2 linked regions of the Drosophila melanogaster genome follow. The protein of the gene in region 1 interacts with the protein of each later gene in a pairwise test. Each region holds a gene or a part of one and is shown in the gene's direction. Other genes may lie near its edges. The genes, in order: CG8032 and GstT4.

The links.
Region 2: the proteins of CG8032 (region 1) and GstT4 interact in a two-hybrid assay, tested with the Drosophila melanogaster proteins (one large-scale study listed by BioGRID).

What each region holds. Positions count from the first base shown.
Region 1 is NT_033777.3:8,660,986-8,671,119, forward strand, and holds CG8032 (uncharacterized protein), read left to right. Parts: upstream 1-3,129; 5' UTR 3,130-3,497; coding exon 3,498-3,764; intron 3,765-4,076; exon of another isoform or gene 4,077-4,347; intron 4,348-4,451; coding exon 4,452-4,857; intron 4,858-4,912; coding exon 4,913-5,687; intron 5,688-5,749; coding exon 5,750-5,870; intron 5,871-5,928; coding exon 5,929-6,111; 3' UTR 6,112-6,787; downstream 6,788-10,134. Other genes in the region: p (pink), read right to left, coding at 101-1,996, 2,075-2,575, 2,658-2,741; CG8036 (uncharacterized protein), read left to right, coding at 8,840-8,943.
Region 2 is NC_004354.4:13,401,104-13,412,513, forward strand, and holds GstT4 (glutathione S transferase T4), read left to right. Parts: upstream 1-3,645; 5' UTR 3,646-3,863; coding exon 3,864-3,981; intron 3,982-7,184; coding exon 7,185-7,471; intron 7,472-7,552; coding exon 7,553-7,688; intron 7,689-7,759; coding exon 7,760-7,932; 3' UTR 7,933-8,220; downstream 8,221-11,410. Other genes in the region: CG12725 (uncharacterized protein), read right to left, coding at 1,120-1,611; CG1998 (uncharacterized protein), read right to left, coding at 8,496-8,646, 8,711-9,165, 9,239-9,414, 10,249-10,322, 11,159-11,313, 11,384-11,410.

The sequences.
Region 1 (10,134 bases):
ATGCTTTTGGTATTGGCCTTAGCTTGAGATTAGTTAGTGGAACAATAAATATGGCTATAAAGTATCGTATATATGTATATAATAATAATTTTCATATCGTTCAGCCCTTGAGCAGGCAGCGGGAGTAGAACTCCCGGTCGATAGCGTCGTTTGGAATGTATGAGCTCCACTTGAAGATCAGCGCCAGCGTGTCCCCGGCGGACATGTGATCCAGAGCGATGTTGAGGAAACAGTTCCAGTTGTAGAAGAAGTGGCGTCCCAACTGTTCCTGTTCCACGCCAGATATGCACTCGCAGTTGGCGCACACCAGTCGTCCGCCGCGTTGCAGTTCCACGAACTGTTCGAAGCAGCGGCCCCATGCGCTCACGCTCAGTTGTTTGCCCACGTCAGCCAGAAGTTCGGGGAGTCCGTAGTTGAGGACGATGGCCACCACTTTGGTGAGATTCTGTTCGGCTAGGTAAAATTTAGCTAAGACGTCTAATAGTGCCGGCACTGATTGAACAACATCAAAGCACTTCAGTTGCTCGCCACGGGACCAGAAGTATCGCAGGAGCACTGCTCCAAGCTCATGATACTGGCAGGAGGTATCGAAGCGAAGGGGGAACGAGCAATGCTCACACTTGACAATCTCCGCATTTTGCGAAGTATTTAGCAGCACAAATCCGGCAGCTATGTGATCCCGCGTAGCGTCGTCCACTTCCCAGATCATCTCCGGATCCAGGTAATCGAAATACATCTCGTAGCAATTGCGTTGCGCTTGGTCAGGCGTATCCCCATGCTCTACCATCACCTGGGCTAGTTTCTCGAGCAGATTCACCAGCTCGCCAGCTGCATACTCGTCGAAGACAGCGCGATAACGATCGACGCACTGCGTCCGGCTAAACTTGGCGCTCTTGGCGATCAGGTAGAGGTTGTAAAGAGTCTTCTCCTCGGGACTGATGTGGGGAACCTGGGGAGCCGGTTTCTTACAGCGCCTAACAATTTCCTCCTCCTGATCCTCGCTTCCCGACTCGTAGCGTGCTTTGATGTCCTTGAACGGCAGAGAACGCTCGCTGGCTGGAATTAGTTCCCTGACCAACTGCTGCTGTTCCTCGGCAAAAATATTGAACTTGTATTTTATGATGTTCTTGCCGAATTTACCAGTTACCGTCAGCAGCGCATCCTTGAAGTGTCCCGTTTTGAGAGGCTGCTTCAAGTTGTCGCAGAATGCGTTTTCCAGCACGTACACTCCCTTCGGCGGAGCTCTCGATGAACTTCCGCCGCTCAAACTGCGTTCAGTGGTGGCTGAACTGCCTCCCGAGCTGTGCGTATCCAAAGCACTGCCTGTGCACTGAGTTATGGCATCAAATATCACGGATATATCGTTCAACAGCTCGTACTCCTGCCGCTCGATGAGTAGTTGTTTCAGCGGATTGAGCTGTTTAAGTTCGTAATCCTCGCGAGCCTTGTCCGCAAAATATCGGACATGCTGGCGTAGTAGATTTGCGCAAGGCAGCAATTTGGATTGTTGTATAAGAGAAACTGCGTGGGATTGCAGCGTCTGCAGCTGGACACTATAAAGTGCGCCAGACTGCGTAAACACAAAGATCTCCGATCCCGAGGAGCGGCAGTCGGCGATTCTCTCGAACTGATTGGACCACAGCACCACCGCCGATCGTCGAATATCAAATATATATAGTCCCAGCTCTGTAAAGGCCAGCAGAAAGTCATCGTTCAACCTTTGTACCTTTGCGAACTGCAGATTCTGCGGCTGATAGTCCAGCAGCTCGGCATTGGCGTCCAGTTCGTCTGTTCCGCTACCAGGTCGCTGAATCCTTGCCGGTGCGGTGGCTAGGGCCGTCTTGAACTGGTGCGTCTGTATCACCTCGCCCTCAAAGTCCACCTCCCACACGCGACTGCCTGGTCGGGCGCAGTAGATACGAGATGGCTGCAAAGACTCCTGCGGCGAGACGAAAAAGCAGGCGCCAAAGGCTCCATCCCGCGGACGGTTACCAATCTGAAAAATATGACATGAGGTAAAAGTTTATCGATTGTATGTGATCAGATTGGCTTAGCCACCAGCGCACAAACGCACTTGTTTGTAATCCTCGTACTCAGTGTTGCACAGAATGCACTTGGTGCAATTGGACACCAGCAGCAGGTACTCAAAATCATCAATTTGGACGATCGGAGAGTCCAGGTAGAGCAGCGGATGCACTGTCATGTTGAACAGCAGACTGTGTCCGATGAACGAGGAGAGCAGCACGAGGCTGACTTGTCCGCGAGAGTCGCCATAGTAGAACTGCTTCTCGTCCTGCGTCCAGTGGATGCATGTAACCTGCACCGACTGGTCCAGGTGCGTAAAGATCACCTGCGGCGTGGCCTGCGCGGACAAATTCACGGCATAAACACAGATGAGCGAACGTTGCGTTGCAAAAGCCACATATTTGCTATTTGCCGATATGCTGAGGCTGGTGATCGCTCCATGCTTGTTTGGTATCAAGAGCAGAAACTTGCCGTTCCGATTGAACAGATACAGCGATCCGGATGAGGCACCGAAAATGATATAGCTGTCGGAGATGTCGAAGCAGGTGTACTGAAGGGAGGAAGGGCGTGCATTAGTGAATGGTCTGCTATCAAATTGCGGGTGAGACTCAATTGGATTGACTTGCTCTCACCTTGATGCGATTGTGGTGTTTCAGCGGCAGCGACAGCGACAGCGAAAAATCAATAAAGTTCGTCAGGCAGTAGGCGTCGGCCATCTTGTGGGCTTTTTCGTTGTCCGAAGCGTTCGTTAATCACATAGCTCGCTTTGAAATCGCGATTACGTTATTGCATTGCACATCGCATGCATTTATTTACAAAAATTATGTTTTTATCAGCGCGACGAGTAATTCGTGTACATAGGTCGTTGGAACTGTCTGGCAGCTCTGTTAGTGCTGGCAGGTGGTCGATAACAAGTGGAGTGTGATTAGAGCGATTACTTTTTATTTCAAATACTTTGTAATAAACTTGTTAGTGTCTTAATTAAAACAATTCAAATCTTCAATTTGAAATGTATATTAAAATCAAAAGTTTCATGAAATCACAGACGTTAAAGTATCGATACATTTAGTGCTGTAAAATGACAGCTGGCTTGTTTACCCTTATAAGCTTCAAGTCTGGCAATACTGCGACCAGCAGCTGTCGTAAAACTTATCCTTCAAACTTTCAATTAAAATACGTTTTTCTGAAAAAATCGCTTATCAAACTCCCATACATAAAAATAAAACTATTATTACACAATGTTTACTAAAAAAAATTGGATATTTACCACCCAGCCGAACAGCTGTTCGCTGCTACCTCCCCCAACCCATAAACCTACTGTCAAGTAAACGTCAAAACAGTCGCGCGACTCGCCAAGCGAAAAAACCTGCAGAAAAATTGAAATGCGGCGTGAAAGATACTAGAAAAATAACAAATAAACACCGGGTATCCGCAATTAAAACGCTTATGTACATAGAAGCCAAAGTGTAGCAATGGGCGACAAGGAGGAGCCCGTAACACCCGCTCCCTCGCCCACGGAGGAGGGTATGGCCAATATTGGGTCTGCTGGAGCCGGGGATCAGCCGCAAACTTCAGGGAATAATACCAACGTTAAGATCGTGATCATTGGAGCTGGAATGGCTGGCCTATCGGCTGCAAATCACCTTTTGCAAAACGGCTGTGACGATTTCCTTATTCTGGAGGCACGGGGCCGGGTGGGCGGACGCATTGTGTCCATACCGCTCAGCAATAATCAGAAGGTACCATTTGTTATATAACCCCCTCAAGTCCAAAAACCAAAACAAACCATCATAGGCGACCATATGGTATTAAAGGAAAAACACTTCCGACTCGGAAAAACCACGAGCATGTTGTAACACATTCTTCGCCCCAGCCAGTTGATTATAGATTTTTCCACGGACTGCGCAGTCGGTCAGCTGTTCACGCTTTTCATTAAAGCTATTTTTATACATGTTCCTGTTCCCTCTATTTGCCTATTGTTAGCTTTATTTGTTACATATGCTTACATGGGGGTAATTAATGTAATTGCATCTGTCGTGAATCTTACTCACGATTTTCATTCCGTTCATTAGCATAGTTTTGATCGGTTTGGCGGCACCTTATCAAGAAATTTGTTATACAACTTTCTTCGGCAACGTTTGTCAGATTAGATAGGGGTTTTCTGAATTAAGCCAATGATGACGTATCTAGTGCAATGCCCTGAAAAACTCACGGGTTTGCGGGCTAACGATCACGTAGTCTTAGTTATGGGACTGAAAAATTTATTATTTTTCCAGTTTTCCACATTGTTTCACTTCACATGTACTAATTACGCCCCTAAATTATCTAATATAGGTCAGTTCTTATCTTTTTTATACTAGAAAGTTAAATGTTAAGCTTTGCCTACTTATCTGAGATGTTCCTATTTAAACACTTCTATTTCACAGATAGAACTTGGCGCCAACTGGATACACGGCGTTCTGGGCAATCCCATCTTTGAGCTGGCCGTACAACATGGTCTAGTCAGCGTGGTCAACGTACCGAAACCGCACAAGGTGGTGGCCACCACGGAGGACGGGCACCAGGTGCCTTTTAACATACTTCAGGAGATCTACGAGGCGTACGTCTGCTTTCTGAGGCGGTGCGATGAGTATTTCCTGTGTCAGTACAGCCCGCCGCCGGATATACACAGCGTGGGAGAGCACATTAACTATGAGATCGAAATCTATCTGAGCGGGGTCCAGGATCCCAAGGAAAAACGCCTCAAGCAATCCATATTTAACTGCCTGCTCAAGCGAGAGACCTGCATTACCGGCTGCAACAACATGGACGAGGTGGATCTCCTCGAACTTGGTAAGGCTAAGCTAAAAATAAAGTATATACAATATGAATATATATTTTATTTTAGGCAGCTACACTGAGCTACAAGGAGGCAATATAGTGTTGCCAACTGGTTATAGCTCTATTCTGCGACCGCTGGGTGCTCAGATAGCCAAGCAGTCCATACTGACCAAATGCCCGGTGAAGAAAATCCACTGGAAGCGGAAAAAGACCTTCACTGGGCTGGAGACAGTCGACGAGAACTCGGAGGACGAGCATTCAGACGACTCTGAACGAACGGTGACGGAAGTGCCGACGGGGGAAATTCGTGGCGCCTCCGTGGAGTCCAACACCAGCAGCAATTGTGATTATCCTGCAGGCAACGTGCGCATAGATTGCGAGGACGGTCGAGTGTTCCATGCAGCCCATGTGATATGCACCATACCGCTAGGCGTACTGAAAAACACCCATCGCACTCTCTTCGATCCTGTGCTGCCGCAGTACAAACAGGAGTCCATCGAGAATCTCATGTTCGGCACCGTGGACAAGATCTTCTTGGAGTACGAGCGACCATTCCTCAGTGCCGATATATCAGAGATTATGCTATTGTGGGACGACGATAAGCGGGATATGAACAGCTCCGAGGAGGAGCTGGCCAGCGAAGCGTATCTCAGCAAGAATTGGTTCAAGAAGATATATTCGTTTGCCAAGGTGACGGACACGCTGCTCTTGGGCTGGGTCTCGGGCCGGGAGGCGGAGTACATGGAGAAGCTCGACCATGAGGCAGTGGCTGAAAAGTGTACGGAAATACTTAGGAACTTTCTGCAGGATCCTTACGTGCCCAAGCCAAAGCGATGTGTTTGGTAAGGCAAAGAAACATTATTTGGTTAAGAATGTTGTATATTAAAGAAAAATCTATTTGTAGTACCAGTTGGAAGTCGCAGGACTTCACCGGTGGCGCATACACCTCAATACCGGTGGGCGCAACTCAGGAGGACATCGAGAACCTCGCCCAGCCCCTCTATGCCACGCCCCAAGCCATGAAGGTCAGTTCTACAAGCTTGCTTCCCCGGCAATTGTTCACATTTTAATATATTTCCCCAGCCCGCCATAGTCTTTGCCGGAGAGCACACCCATTCCAGTTTCTACTCTACCGTACACGGCGCCTATTTGAGCGGACGGACGGCAGCGCAGCATTTGCTGGCGAGCGATGAGCCAGACGAAATCATCATGGAGTCGGACGGCAGTGATCTGAGCGCCTGGATACAGGGCATTGCCCTGGACTGAGTCTAAGCTAATCAACGACCACTCATCGATTTTGTATTATAATTTATTAACGTTATTTTGTACACTCTTTAAACGCTTTTTAGCTAGTGATATTTAATTTGTTCGATTGTAATTTATTTTGCTAGCGTCGTAAAACGATTTAACTCATTTTTGTACATCCCTTGTGAGCATTTGTTTTATTTTGTTGATGCAATTATTTTGTAATTTATTTGGAACCCGCTTGTACATTACTATAAATAAAAGTTACGAATTAGCTGAGCTGATCAATGTGCTGCCAACTCGAACAGACCGTGCACCCGCAGCAGCTTTCACTGTACTTGGACGAAAAAGTGTGCACAAAGACATAATGTTGTTTAGACCTAATTACCGATTAGCAACCATAAGTGTATGAATACAAATATATTGCCTATTTTTATAAATTCGTATTTAACGTAGAAAAGGTTGCACCAAAAGGTTGACACTAAGACGATCGAACAATGAGTGCAACTAATGTATATTTGAAAGTAACTATTGTTAACGTTAACTATTTTGCTAACTAAATTATGCATTGGTTGACTCTTTAAGGCGGAAAAGGAAAAGTTGGTATTCATAAGTCCGTTCTAACACTTGGATCTGCATATTTATTTGTATTTGTGACAAAAATATCGACTTGTACGCATAAATAAATAAATTAAATAAATAAATTATTGAATGAAAATGTATAATTTTAAATAGTAAAACACAAGTCGAAGAAAGTTTTGATTTTTTAACGATGGGGAGAGATCTGTATTATAAAAATCAAGTTGTGCTTTTGGTTTTAGGCCAACAAAAGTCTATAATTCAAAACATATGTAGATATCCTAAATTATTTGAAAGTCTTTCGCATTGCACTCGTAAATTTTTTGTGGATACATTTACTCGAACTTAGCTAAGGTGTGGTAAAAAAGCTAATAAGGATAAGGTAGGTGGAAATGAAAAGGATTGACTAAGCTGAATTCAAGAATGCATTAAAAATGGCTTGTAAAAAATTCGACAAAAAATCCTTCGAGCCGGATTTGAACCAGCGACCTATGGATTTCTATTGCATGTTTTCCAACTACAGTCCACCGCTCTACCAACTGAGCTATCGAAGGGGGCGTGCTGGGGAGTAGGTTAAACAACGGGTATCCGATTCATCGCGACTCTTCAATAAACTTTTGTTGGTAATCGGTTTAATTAATGCGTATTTTAGCTTTTAATGGATTGAGGTCACGGACAGCATATGCCATGTCGTTCAAATACCTTTTCTTTTGATTGTTGCTAAGCTAAAATTAAATAATATATTGATGTACGCGTAAAGTAAGACATGTTCATTTTCACGTGTTTTTAAAATTGATATTCTTCAAATTATTATTCATTTTATATAACATTGTGTTTATAAAATGTCTTTTGCATCTACATGTTTATAATTGCATACTATTTTATATATTTTTTATGGGGTACGGGTGCTACTATAAAAACAAAAACGAATTGGATATTACAAAAAATTACAAAAAATCCTTCGAGCCGGATTTGAACCAGCGACCTATGGATTTCTATTGCATAATTTTCCAACTACAGTCCACCGCTCTACCAACTGAGCTATCGAAGGTTGAGTTCAAACTTGGCCGTTGTTCGTTTTATGCATGCGCACAAACGAAATGCACCGTATTTGGTTATTTATTTTTGATTTTTACTTATTTAGGTCAAACAAAATTGATCAACTTTCTCTATTCAGTCCATTGCAGTAAGCCTATAGTTTCCAAGCCTAATAGCCTAGGCGCTTTTCACAAACTATATCAATTTAGTTACGGTTTATTTCTTCCAAATAAAATCCTTCTTATATTATTTAGTTTAAACAGCTCAGTTATATTCTGAATGTCTGTAGATGAATTAAATTGATTTAAATTGTGCACTACAAAATATATAAAAAAAAAGGTATGTGCACTACAAAATATATAAAAAAAAGGTATTTATATCTTTTCGATCCTTCGAGCCGGATTTGAACCAGCGACCTATGGATTTCTATTGCATGTTTTTCCAACTACAGTCCACCGCTCTACCAACTGAGCTATCGAAGGTTAAATTCGCTTGCGGCTAATTCACCTTTTGTTCAGGAGCGAGGTGGGGAAAGTGACAAAAAGAGAGGGCACTTCTCTTAAACACCGCTGCTCTTTAATACTCGCGGCCAGAAAAATAGGACCTTAAATTCTTGTAAACTTATATTAAATACTAAAGCATTGTAAATCTTAATGAGAAAATATTCAGGTACAACTGTTCATGGCTTAATTTTAGACCAAAATTGTGCATGAATTTAGAAAGGCAGCAATGCACTATTTGAAACTAACTAGTTACCCACCCACAGCTGTGCACCGATAAAGGGGTGGTGTGCGAGCAAAGATGCCATATTTATACATATATCCATCTCGTTCCAGCGCCGACGATAGACGATACCGATACTTTGCGAGTCCGCTCCCAAGATTGAGCCCCCACAGCGTAAAAGCGACCGAAGTGCCGGCGACGAGAGCAGTTCGTTCCCAGAAGCCGGCAGCAGTGGTCCGTTGATAACTCCGACTCGAGCTACTTATCCACCACGTCGATACTCTTGTCTGTCTATTGCAAACATAGAGGAGTCACCCTTTGGCTAACGAATCCGAAACTCCCGAGTTTTGTTGTGCAACATATCAAAAACCGCATTTGTTCGGATCCAATTTACATTCGCATTTCAAAGATGTCGTACCACAAGCCCGAAGCTAAGACCGTCCAGGATCTGAAAGATCTGGCCCAGAAACTGCGAATTCACTCTATCAACGCCACCCAGGCCTCCAAATCGGGGTAAGTTTATCAATAACTGAAAGTCCATAGGCATATTAAAGTGTGCGTATTTAGATTTGTTTGTGTAGATGTGAATTTTAAAAGTTGTGCACCTTGCACTTGTTGCTTCAAAGGTGACCCCCTCCATTTCCAGGGTGGGTGCGAAAAAGTTTTTGAGGGGGCTGCTAAATACATACATACATATGTATGTGTTTTGAAACATTACAAAAGAAAATAAAACAAAAATAGTTACGCATATACATAGTTATGCATCTATGTTTGTATGAATGTGAGAAGTAAAATATGGGAAGACCGGTTCCTTTAGTGACCCCTCCTGGGATTCAGTTGCCAACCCACGTGTTGTCCAGTAGCTTTAGTGAATTTGCGAATTTGTTGCCCTGCCTGCGTGCTCAGTGATAAGCCGCGTTCACCTACCTTAAATTGTGAGCTAATATTTTTTGACCTTAGACAACCTTGAAACGTTAGGTTTTTCTTACTGCCTTTTAATTTCTTTTGCTTTTGTTTTGTGCGTGGCGTTCAAAACGCCGAAAGCACATACATATGTACATGGGGTAAAAACAAACATACTTACATATCAAACAGAGGCATTTAATATACGTATGTACATATGTACATACAAGTGTTGGAAAGCACAGCTTGTGACGGGAGTGGAATTGGAAAGAGAGGGATGAGAATAGTAATGGAATGATCCCCTACACTTGAGATTTACGACTGTATGGCTTTTAATGTAATTATATCTCGGATAGACGCGATCAAATTATTACTGCAACAGTAAATAAAAAAGTTACTATGCTGATAAGGAAAACACTTTTATCGCCTCCATTAGTTTTTCCATTCTGTTTCGTTTTTTTTTTTTTTTGTGACGGTTCAAGATAAGATCTGCTCTGTTTGCTCTAAATGTGACCTCTGCCGACGAGATAAGCCCGGTTTGGTTACTCATTGACCACGATATGACCGATTAGAGGTGACCAGCTCAAGTGTGTTCCCCGCATGATAATCGAAAATCACTGAAAACTGATAAAAAAAAAAAAAGCGCGCCGGGTCACTGCTAACACTCCGTATCACCTTCAATAGTTCTTGATATGGCTGCAGGAAACGGGGACGCACTTCGGAACTATCTAGAAGCACGTGCGTTCACAAAGATCGCCATGCAACACAATCGTGGAAGCCAAGAATTTGGTTTTTAAGGCT
Region 2 (11,410 bases), on another chromosome or scaffold:
GAACCCGTCAGTAGAACCTAGGCCTAGGCTGTAGATACTAAACCCGAATCAAGCTGTATACTATATCTGTAACACCTAGTTGATAAGCGAACCAAGCGATGAATAAACGATGACAAAAATCAAGAACTTATGCTCACAACGATTTGGCTGCAAATGGTTATTATTCGTACACTTTTATTGATAAGTATACGATATTTTCAACCTTATACAGTTTGAATATGTTTGCATTTTTCATTTAAACTAAAGAAAAACAATCAGTATCCTATATTTGGCTAAGTTACATTATGAAATTTAAAGTTCGACACCTCAACAGAATTGTAAGCGCCATCTATCGGTTGGTAGCGGACGGGGGAGGGCAACTCATTAAATAGTCAGCACAAAAGTATGCTAAAATATATCACAGAGTTGCAGGATATCGAATTATGTTTTACCAGTTGAATCACCACCCTCATGACCTCCCTAACCTGGTTTTGACCTAGAAAGTCTTAGTTTTAAAATTCATTAGAATAATCAAATAAATAATAATTACTATGTTATATCAACTATTATAATTCTCCCTATCATTTTTAGGATTAAAAATCTGTTAGTCTTAAGTAACCAAGACACATTGTAAAATAAAATAATTTAAGCAGATCAAATTAAGTTGCCGCATGGGTAACAGTGCGTTGATCAAATAATAAAAACATCATCATGAATAAAAAAAAAAAAAAAAAAAAAAAAAAAAAAAAACCAGTTGAATGTATTTAAACTATATTTATAAATATTTTTTGAGTTAAATGGCTTTCGTTCTACAGTTCAGCTTTTCAGGAATACCATGCAGTCCATAAATAATACATAAATTTTAAGAATTTTTATGGCATTGGCCATGAGACGTTAATTATTTGCTTGAGTGTAAACAAATTCGAAATTACTTTAAATTACTTTAAATGATTCGTAAATGGGTGGTATTCTCGAATTTTTTTTTTATAATGCAACTTAAATAAAGCATTTGTTCTAAGACCCGTTCTGCTTGTATTTTGAAAATCATTGGAAGGAACTTTGAAATGAAATGAGCGCAGTCATTTGAATTGAAGATTATTTAATACAGTCTACTGCTTATTGTCGTTCTTCGTAGCCTTCTTAATCAGATCCAGAGAAATTCAATGGAGCAATCGGCTCTAGCTCCGTCTGGTTGTTGACCAGTGAATCATCGGAGTTAAGGGACAACAAATCGAGTTCAGTCAAGTCCTGTGCCTCCAGTTCATCATCGTCACTTTCCAGATCTATGCGTTGCTGGTAACCGCCGATCAATGTAGACATATGTTCACCACTATCGTTTTTCCTGCCATAGCCGAACTTGCTAAACTTGCCAATCTTCTTTTCGCGCAATTGCTTGGGCGTCAGGACGACCGGCTTCCAGGTGAGATCCAGAATGGACTTATGGCCCACATCCTCCAGTATGCTCTGATTGGACAGCTCGCGACCCTTGTAGGACAGCCGACTGAAGCCCATGGGCACGGACATGGCTCGCCCGATCCGTGCCTTCAGGTTGGCCACCGTTCCGAAGCGATCCACATCGTAAACCGTCTTCTTGCCGTCGCTCGTCTGAACTAGAACTTGCATCTTACGCATCCTAATCCAGATATATATATATATATATATGTATCTGGCACGTCGAACTGCAACTTTTTTCGTTTTATACACAAGCTCTAAGTTTTGCTTCGTTCGGATAAAAGTTTGCTCTTGGAATCCCCTATCAAACTGTCGTCGTCATGCGAATGCTAGTGCGAGTTAAATTTAATGGCATCCTTGATTACCTTATTTGATTTCCTTTGTCGATTCTCCAATCGAATTTCATAAGGAGCAATTGGCAACCCTGAAGTTGATATATTCGGCTATTCCAATTTAATAAAAATTCATTTTCGCGCTTTAACCCACAACAGTTGCATATTCTTTGAATAGTCACTATTTTTGATTTCGACGTGAAAGTAAAATATTTTCAATCAATACAGGTAGAGAAAACTCATAAGAGCGGGGCTCCACTGCCCAGCGGCCACGTGGCCTCCAAGGACCAGAACGTGAATACATTGAGCAAATCGATCCTTGGCGAGGTACTAAGAAAAGCCTTTAATGTGAAGGCGTGACCCGTTCAGCGCGGTTTGCTCTCCTCCGCGATTCATATGAACCTCTGACGAATTCGATGCCATAATTTTCAGCTGCCAAGGTCGTCTTTCAAAAATAAATATAAAAAATTAAATGTTTCCAACTTTTTAAGTTAGTAAGTTAAATAATTAGCAATAGAAATTAACTATTTTTTATAGGATAATCATAGCGAAATTTCTGAAAATGCACGAAATGAACAGCTGATCAAAAGTGAAGTGTAGTGCACTCTATTGAGCCATTATCGTGGCAAGTATCTTTGTGCCAACTGTTGTGCCACCTTGTACGGACAGCGTACACTTGTGACAGCGAATGCATCTTAGAGATACAGATACATCCGAAGACAAGGCACTTTGGCTGGCACTTCGGCCCAGTTTTATCAGCTCAACAGTTGAACAAAAACAATTCGCTGACCGATATGGAAGGTATAGTTGTGTTTCTTGTTCTTGTTGGTATTTTCTGTTATTGGCCCCGTTTTTGGTAAACAAGATAACACCGCACATCGTAGATTCGTTTAGTGGGGTGCTGTGGGGCTTGGGATCGCTGGGATCCTCAAAACACTTATTAATACTAAGCATTTTCTGATTGGAAATCGTCGCCAGATAACGCACGAATATATCAAAGCTAGTCCAGTACAAAGGCGAAAGAGCCGAATACCGAGTCAAAAAGAAACCAGCAAAACAAAAACAAGAAAAGCCGCAGCAGCAACAAAATACTAAAAGCAAAACAAACAGCGATAAAATCGAACAGCTAGGCACACTTGAAATACCCTATCGAAAATTGGGAAAGCCCTAACACATGGATTTAAGCCAAGTGTTCGTTAAGCCCTGAGTAAATGCATCGAGTTTAATAGCGGCAAGGGAAGCTATATGGACTCTATATGACTTTATGGTTAAAATATAAGCTGCTTGTAACTATCGCATTTATGTAAGTTTTAGTATGAATTTTGGTATACGGCCAAGAAAATGAGTAATAAAACCTGGTACCAATTTTCACCACCATCCGATTGGTAATACCCGAGTTACGATAGGTAAGTTTTGCATATCCCGCTCTCTTTTCGCTGTGGGCCACACCCTCTTTTCAAAGGGGCATGCAGTCGCAATGTCTCGATCTCAGCGAAAGGGTAGCGCCAGTGTCAGCAGAGGCGGAGCAGAGGAGCAGCAGTGGGGGCACCATATACAATGTACATATGCACAAGAAGCCGGTCTTTTTTGTCTCTGTTTTTGTTTTTGTGTTCGCTTTGTTTTTTTCTCTTTTTTTTTTTTTTTTTTGTTAGCATCTTGTTGTGATCGCAACGCTGCTCCGCTGGCTTGTTTTTGCGGCGCATTTAATGAATGCGCCCCGTTCACCCCTCCCCTAATACTTCACACACACCACACACCGTACACCAAACGCCATACACCATACACCATACACCACACACCACCTCACCCCACCCACCAGTTTGCTGCGCAGTCGGCGTCGACGCAGCGGCATTGCGTTTAAAATGTCGCAGCGACGGCGCTGCGGAGCTCAGTCTAGCAGCAAAAGTCCAGCGATACGGTTCCAAAGCGATCTGATCTCAGTTTCGATTTGAATCCCCCGATCTGGAATTTCGAATTTTGGATTGTACTGCAGTGCATTGAAGTGCCTACACAACTTTTTTTTTCGCACCCACTCTAGTCACTTGGAGAGAGCACACTGTATATAGTTGGAATATATATATATTAGTATATATCAACGAGATGTCGCAGCCACTCAAGTTCTACTTCGATTTCCTGAACCAATCGAGCCGGGCGCTCTACATCCTCCTGGAGGCCTCCAAGATCCCCTTCGAGGCCATACCCATATCGATGCTCAAAGGTGAGTAGTACTCGCTGTTAAGAAGGGAGTGGTGGTGGGCAGGGAGTACGTGAGCGGTGGCACACACAGCCACATCTATAAGACCAGCCACATCTATAAGGGCCCAAAGGTCGAACCAACCGACCAACCGACCAACCGACCAACCGACCGACCGACGAACACATTCCTATGCATTTATGCTGCCCTTTGTTTTCGATATTTTTCGAGTCGGCGAGTGAGTTTCCAAATAAATTTTCCGCTCGTTAAAAATTCCACAATCCAAACGAAAAGTTTCCAAGGCGAAAGCGGGCAGACGTCGTTTTTGAAATAGTGTCACTCCATTCGAAAACAATTGAGGAACTGTGGAACATGGCGAGATTAGACGAACATATGTATTGTACATACATATGTACATATGAGTTCAATGCAAACGTGATTGTTCTCAAAAATAATTTCTTAGCAAATGATAGATAAGATTAAAAGGAATCCCGAAACGAACGTGAGGATTCCTTAGAAAGTGTGTGCAAAATAATTATATTTTTTTTTTTTGCAGAAGTGTTCGAGCATTATTGAGCAGTCGCACTTTGAACGTGTTTACAGATAATCTTAGCCTTTGGGGGCATCCAAAAAAAAAAAAGAAAACCGGCTAATTGCCTTCTATTCACGCTTTTATCGCAGGGCAAACAAACTACAAACTCAAATATGGGTTTCAAAAATATACAATATATGTACATACTATATATTATTCTTGATTCAATAGTATAGATTCAGTACTGTACCTTAAATTCGCAGTGCACTTTGCTCGTGTTTACTCCGCACGAGAATTTAGAAACCGATCTTTGCGCTGGTTTTATCACCTGCTCGCCAAACTGGGACACTTATCAAATTTTCGATGAGATCCAGCGTTTTGTTAGCCACTTTGTTATTTCCATTACCATTCGCTTGAGTTTTGTTTTCCTTCATCATTTGTTGGATGTGGTTTTACTATTTGCCAAGCTGCGCGTGCGCTTAGCACTTTTCGATGATTCGCATATGGTATCAATTTAGGAATGGAGCTAAGGTAAGGAGGGTCTTCACACCTCGTCTTGGTCGTTCTCCACTTGGTCAAGGTTGGCGGAAATGCCATAAAGTGCAGAATTGATGCGAGGATGCAATCAGCGGCCACATTAACGGCTGCATATATAATTGCGATATGTGGATAATGTCGTCTCGCGTTGACGTCAACGCTTTGGCATCGCGTAAGTTGATAGCCACATAAATAGGTATATACTGGGATATCAACTACTATGCTAATCCCAAGGAGAGCTCCCCCAACTCCTCGATACAATGTTCGATTCCCAGACAGGCCTGCCTTTTTTGTTTTTGTTTTTTCTTTTCTTTTTCTATATATGTACAATATATTGGTTGGTGCTGGCACTTGGACTTTGCACTCCGGTGAGCCAGTTAGTTCGCTTAGAAATCAGAGTCGTCGCTGCACGCGAGTGGAGGCAACAAGACAACCTTGTGGAGGTTAAAGACTCCGAGGCGGGGGCAAGCACTTTCAGTAGTTTCAGCACACATGCACACACATTCATAGAGTGGAGCTAGCTGCACTAGCTTCACTAGCACTGGTGCTCGGCTCACCCGGTTTTTTATGCCGGTCCGAGCATGACGCAAGGAATCTAATCTGGCGGGGAGTTTACGAGCTTCACTGCAATTCGGATCAAGTGGAAATCGAATAGAGCTCTCGATTGGGCTATTAACATCATAAACAATGATATTTTCCAACCCAATTCGGTATGCCCTTCAGATTGTTATCTACGAGTGGGCCTACCGATTTGCCAAGCAATCTGTGGTCTTCAAGCTGAGTTCCCAGAGGTCATATAAGGTTATGGGTATGCAGGTTGTATACCTTTCTAAAAGTAACCGTAACGATTTTGACTGCACTCCATGGGCTCAGATACAAGATACTAGAGTCCCTAGAGATCGGAGCAGGTTAGACGGGTTAGTTGCTCGATGGGAATATGAAACGAAGAGAATATTATACTATATACGCTGATATTGGAATTTACAAAGATTATAGTTTATGAATAACGATGGGTAATAAGCTACCAGAGATAAGAGCAGCTCTTTTAATTAGCTCCTGGCCATATAGATTAATTGACTGTCACAATGCAACTGCGATAATGACCCTCACGAGCTTCCGGCTGCCCTTTCTATTGCGATCCCTGGGTCAGCTACCAACCATCAACTCAGATCTTGATCAGCCAGTCAATCACGAATCTCTCACGAATCGCCCTTTGCCTGGATGGAGGCCAGCATATGGTGGCTTTAATTTTCCAAATGGCAGCAATTATAAAATTGAAAAATTGCCGCCGCCAATTCCCAATCTAATCAGCTGATGTCGGGAATCACAGTTTGCCACTAACTGCCGCTGCTGACTAATCAATTAGCTTTCCACAAGCCACATTTGCCCAGTTAATTTCTTTGCTATATTCACACCAGAAATCATGATGTGTATTTGTGCTCACCCATCCAGATGGCAAATACTTAAACCAGAACGGGTATTTTTAGAGCCGGAGGCCTCGCAAGTGCCGCACGATTTGTCACTCCTCCGCGGAACGAACCCCTTTTCTATATGACACCACTGACTGCCCTCACGCCCACGATGACCTTGGTGGGCAGGAAAAAACAACAGAAGCAGAAACCTAAACAGAAACTAAATGGCTCCAAACAGGCGACATTGACAATGACTTTGACTTTCGCCGGCCAGACACGCCCCTCTTTTGAGGGCATTAAGTTCCACATTTTCAATTCCAATTGCGATTCCCGATTTCAGTTCCCTTATCGTTCCTTATCAGGTTTCTCGAATTCGGGCCGTGATTCGGCGGGGCACCTGTTGCTGTGTAGCAATATCTCGTTGGGATCAGGCGATCGGAAGACCAAAACACGCAACTTAAAAGTTAAAAATAAAAACAGCTTTTTAATTAGGGAAGAAATTGGTGTTTGTTTACAGATATGCGCATTGTAGATACATGCATATATATGACAGCTTTAATAAATTAAAAAATATATATAGATATTACCTAATATAAAAGGCTGTCTCTTTCAATTTATAATGGTATATTAATGTGCTAATTATATGTGATTGGTTCACTACTAAGCTTATAAACAAGGTCATCTGGAAATTGTTGAAGTTAATAGAAACCCTCTCCTTTTCCTTTCCCTTGATTTCCCGATTCCAGGCGAGCACCTGACTGGCGAGTTCCGGGACAATGTGAACCGGTTCCGCAAGCTGCCGGCGATCACGGATCACGGCTACCAGCTGTCCGAGAATGTGGCCATCTTCCGGCATCTGGCACGCGAAAAGTTGGTGCCGGAGCACTGGTATCCGCGACGACATCTCGGCCGTAGTCGCATCGATGAGTACCTGGCCTGGCAGCAGACCAACATGGGTGTGGCCACCACGGAGTATTTCCAGCAAAAGTGGCTGGTGCCGTATCTGCAAAAGACCCGGCCAGCCGATAATGCGGTAGGTGGCGGCACCTCATCCCTCATCCCTCATGCTGTGCTCCAATGCCCAAAACTAATCGCTGTCCATGGTTATTTACAGGTGAATCTCGCCAGCAAGCAGCTGGAGCACACGCTCAACGAGTTCGAACAGCTATTCCTCAACTCCCGCAAGTTCATGATGGGCGACAACATTTCGTATGCGGATCTCAGCGCCATCTGCGAAATCGATCAGCCGAGTGAGTAGAAGAATACAAGAAATCCATTGGCGCACCTGATACTAATGCCTTGGCATATGCCTGCTTCGCAGAATCCATTGGCTACAATGCGTTCCAGAATCGCAACAAGCTGGCGCGTTGGTATGAAACGGTGCGCGAGGAGCTGGGTCCCCACTACAAGGAGGTGCTGGGCGAGTTCGAGGCCAAGCTGAAGGGCAGTGGCAGTGGTCAGCAGCAGGGCGTCGCCCAGGCGGTGAAGCAATAGCTAGGACCGTCCGCCGCCAATATTGTTTAGTTCCCTAAGGCAATCGACTATTTAACCAGATTATTTTTTTTTTTTTTGCGCTACAACTATTGCATTTTTGTGATTATACTTGCTCTTCCTATCCAATAAGTCTTAGCCTTTCCATCACACTTGTTTTAACAATACCATTTGTGTCACGTAATGCTCATCTGTTTAAACGTACGAGAAAAACTTATAATCTTATATATAAACTTAGTTGTTAATTATGTATTTTAATTATTCGTATATAAAGTACGCTTATGTTTGTTTAAATATCGACTTTTTTTCGCGAACATAGAACAGAAAGATGCCATACATTTACATTTACGCTTTATTCGACTCGATTAACATTTGTGTTGGGGGGTGGATTCGCTCTGGGAGCGGTGCTCGCGGTTGTGCGGAATACTAGGGGTGTGTCTGCACCATACGTCTATATATGAGGTGTACAAAATAGGATCTGCCTGGTCATATCACAATTGAAATTTGTATACACAGATTGAGAAATGCTTGCTGCCCATGCACAAGAGAACTTTCACTTCGCCGCTTTACTTCATCGTCGGATCGGGGAATGCATCGCGCGGCGGCTTGAAGCTCAGCATCATGATGTGTCGCGCATACGACTTGGTGGCCCGGAAAAGGGAATCGGTGCCATGGAGGCGATCCAAGACGCCCAGCACGCCGAAACAGTTGTTGAATCTGTCGGTTGGCAAGGAAAACAGCATATTAGCCTAGTTTATATCACTAGTTGCCAATCAATTACTTTAAATGGTGAAAATCATGCGCCTCGGGACTGGGAAAGAACGGCAGATGATAGCCGGAGTGGGCGTTGAGTGTTGAAAGGATGGCCAGGGCGAACCACAGCCACGCGGTGGCCACATGGCTGCCCATGAGAAAGACGCCCAGGAAGGGCGGCAACAGGTTGCTAAAGATGTGCTCAATGGGATGGCAATAGATGGCCGTCACCGAGATGGGGGCCGTCCACTCATGATGCTGCTTATGGATGTACTTGTAGATGTGCTTGTGGTGCAGCAGACGGTGCGAATAGTAGAATCCCAGCTCCTCCATCAGGATGCACACGGTCAGCTCAAAGCAGACCCAGTGGAATGTGGGCAGGTCACGAATGTCGCTCAGTCCACGGATCTCCATTAGTCGATAGCTGGCATAGGCCAATGGTATGCCCACGAATATCTGGTTGCAGACCACGCACCAGATCACCTGGAATTCGGAGGGGTCAGACAGTGGGATCAATTGAATATAAATTTCTCGATCGATCGATCGATTGCATTACCTTTAGCAGACGACGAACCTCCACGGGCTCATTGGTGCCCGGCTGGATCTTGTACTTGCGCAGACAGGCGGGCCGATTGGTCAGGTCCATGAAGGTGTACAGTGTGCCCACGGTCCAGTAGACGAGCATCGTGAATATGGTGGTACCGAAGACCCAAAGAACCATGGGCTCGTCGCCTGGAAGATTTGTTTATTTCAAATTGAATTAATAGCTGGCGATAAAAGAGTCTATAAGTGATGCCTTAAAGTATGCAAAGTTATAATTGGAATCCAAAATTTAAATAGATGCATAGTGAATTGATTCATATGAGAATGGATGTTATTAAATCTATAAATGTATAAAGAAATATCCAAGCAACAGCTGGATATAAATCATATGTAGACCGTAAAAAAAAGCAGGCAAATAAACCCATAAAGATAAGTGGCTTAAGTAAAGTTCTTAACGCAATGAATCGTGTGAATTGTAAATTGTAAACGCTGTAAGGAAAATGCAATAAAACGGGCCTATGAACCCTGTTTACTCAGCTTCTGACTTTGAGCTTAAGCAAAATCGGTTAACCGATGAGCCCGGAACATTGAGCCCATTGTGCAATGCGTGAATTAACGTATTTACTCTGGCCAAACAGAGTTATGGTTAAATAATAAGTGTGGCTAACCCGATTGGGGTGTGTGAGTACTAAACATTTGTTTGCTGAAGAATTCAAATTTGCGTGAGTAACGCGGCGATTCATTTCGCCTAATTGGCAGCACTTCTGGTTGCATTTGTATCTGTATCTCTTGCATGTGTCTCTTTGTATCTTTGTGCCCGTATCTCTGTGTCTGTGCGATGGAATTAGTAAACAAAACAGTTGTTGTTGACATTTTGCTGTGTCGCCCAGTGGCTGAGAGTTGCAATTTGCACAGTATCGCCCATGTACACAATGTACACAAAGAGAGGAGCAAAGTTTACCTGTCAACTTATCCATTCTTTTACCCTTTGTTTTGGATATGATACTTGTTAGATTCACTTACCGAACGAGTCGATGAATTTGTCCCACTGCGACTGCCAGAAATCACCGGAGGCTCCCCAAAAGCTCTGCAGATGCCTGGCATAGATATAAGAAACCTCCATGAATTTATCCTCCATGGCTCGTAATCTCAGTGTGTATATGTATATGTTCTGGTTCTTGCAGAATTGGCTTTCTCCCGATTCTTCGCTCTCTCTCTCTCTCTCTCTCTCGCTTTCTTCACGCAAATCGCGTGTCTTCGCTGCTGAGCGTCGCAAAGGCAACTGGCGATTTTGATCGCAGGGAAAAGCGCAGCTCACAAAACCGAAGCTCAACTTAGTTCCACACTCTCGCCAAAAAAAAAAAATGAGAAAGAGAGAGTGTGGGGAAGAAAGCAGAAAACCGAACTTTGGATGCCCTTCTATGTCGTTTGTGATCTAGAAATCTATGGTATGCTATGCTAACCTCGTTCATAAAGGCAATTCGAGTAGATTTTCGCCTTAGAAAGCCTATTTCATGATTGCACTTTCAATTTGTCTATTATTCTATAGCAATGAAGAGTATACGCTTAAATAACTAAACAAACACGCTGATTACTATTCCGTTCTCTTCACCTGGGAATATAGTGAAATCTAATGCAACTCTTATATAATGGTCCACTCTGAGGTCACAAGGGCTATCGACTCAGAATGCGGATTTTAAATTTTGCATTTTTGAGCAAAAAAAAAAAAAACAAATTATGATATCAATAAGCTTATAATAATGCAATCATTGCCCCAAAACTATTTTCAGCTATTATCTTTACTAATTGGGTAAGTTGGCCCAGAAGCTTCCATTTAGATTGAAAATCTGTGTGAAAATTACTAAGCCCTAAACGAGGAGAGGTGCCAGAAGGCGGGAGAAAGCGGACTCCCGCCCAGAATCCCGATAATTACCAGGTGAGCACGTTGCGGAACAGAATGAAGGCGGCCAGGGCGCAGGTGATGATGAAGATGACGCTGTGCAGCGAGGACAGCCAAACGTCGGCGGTGCGGGCGTCATCCCAGTTTTGCAGCGGTGAACCAGGCAATGGTGTCTGTTCCTTGGCATTCTGGGGGATCAGGGGATTATTAATTATTATTATTATTAGTATAGAGTAGATGTGATTCCAGCCGGCTTACATCATTCAGGTTGAGGTAGACCGGCGG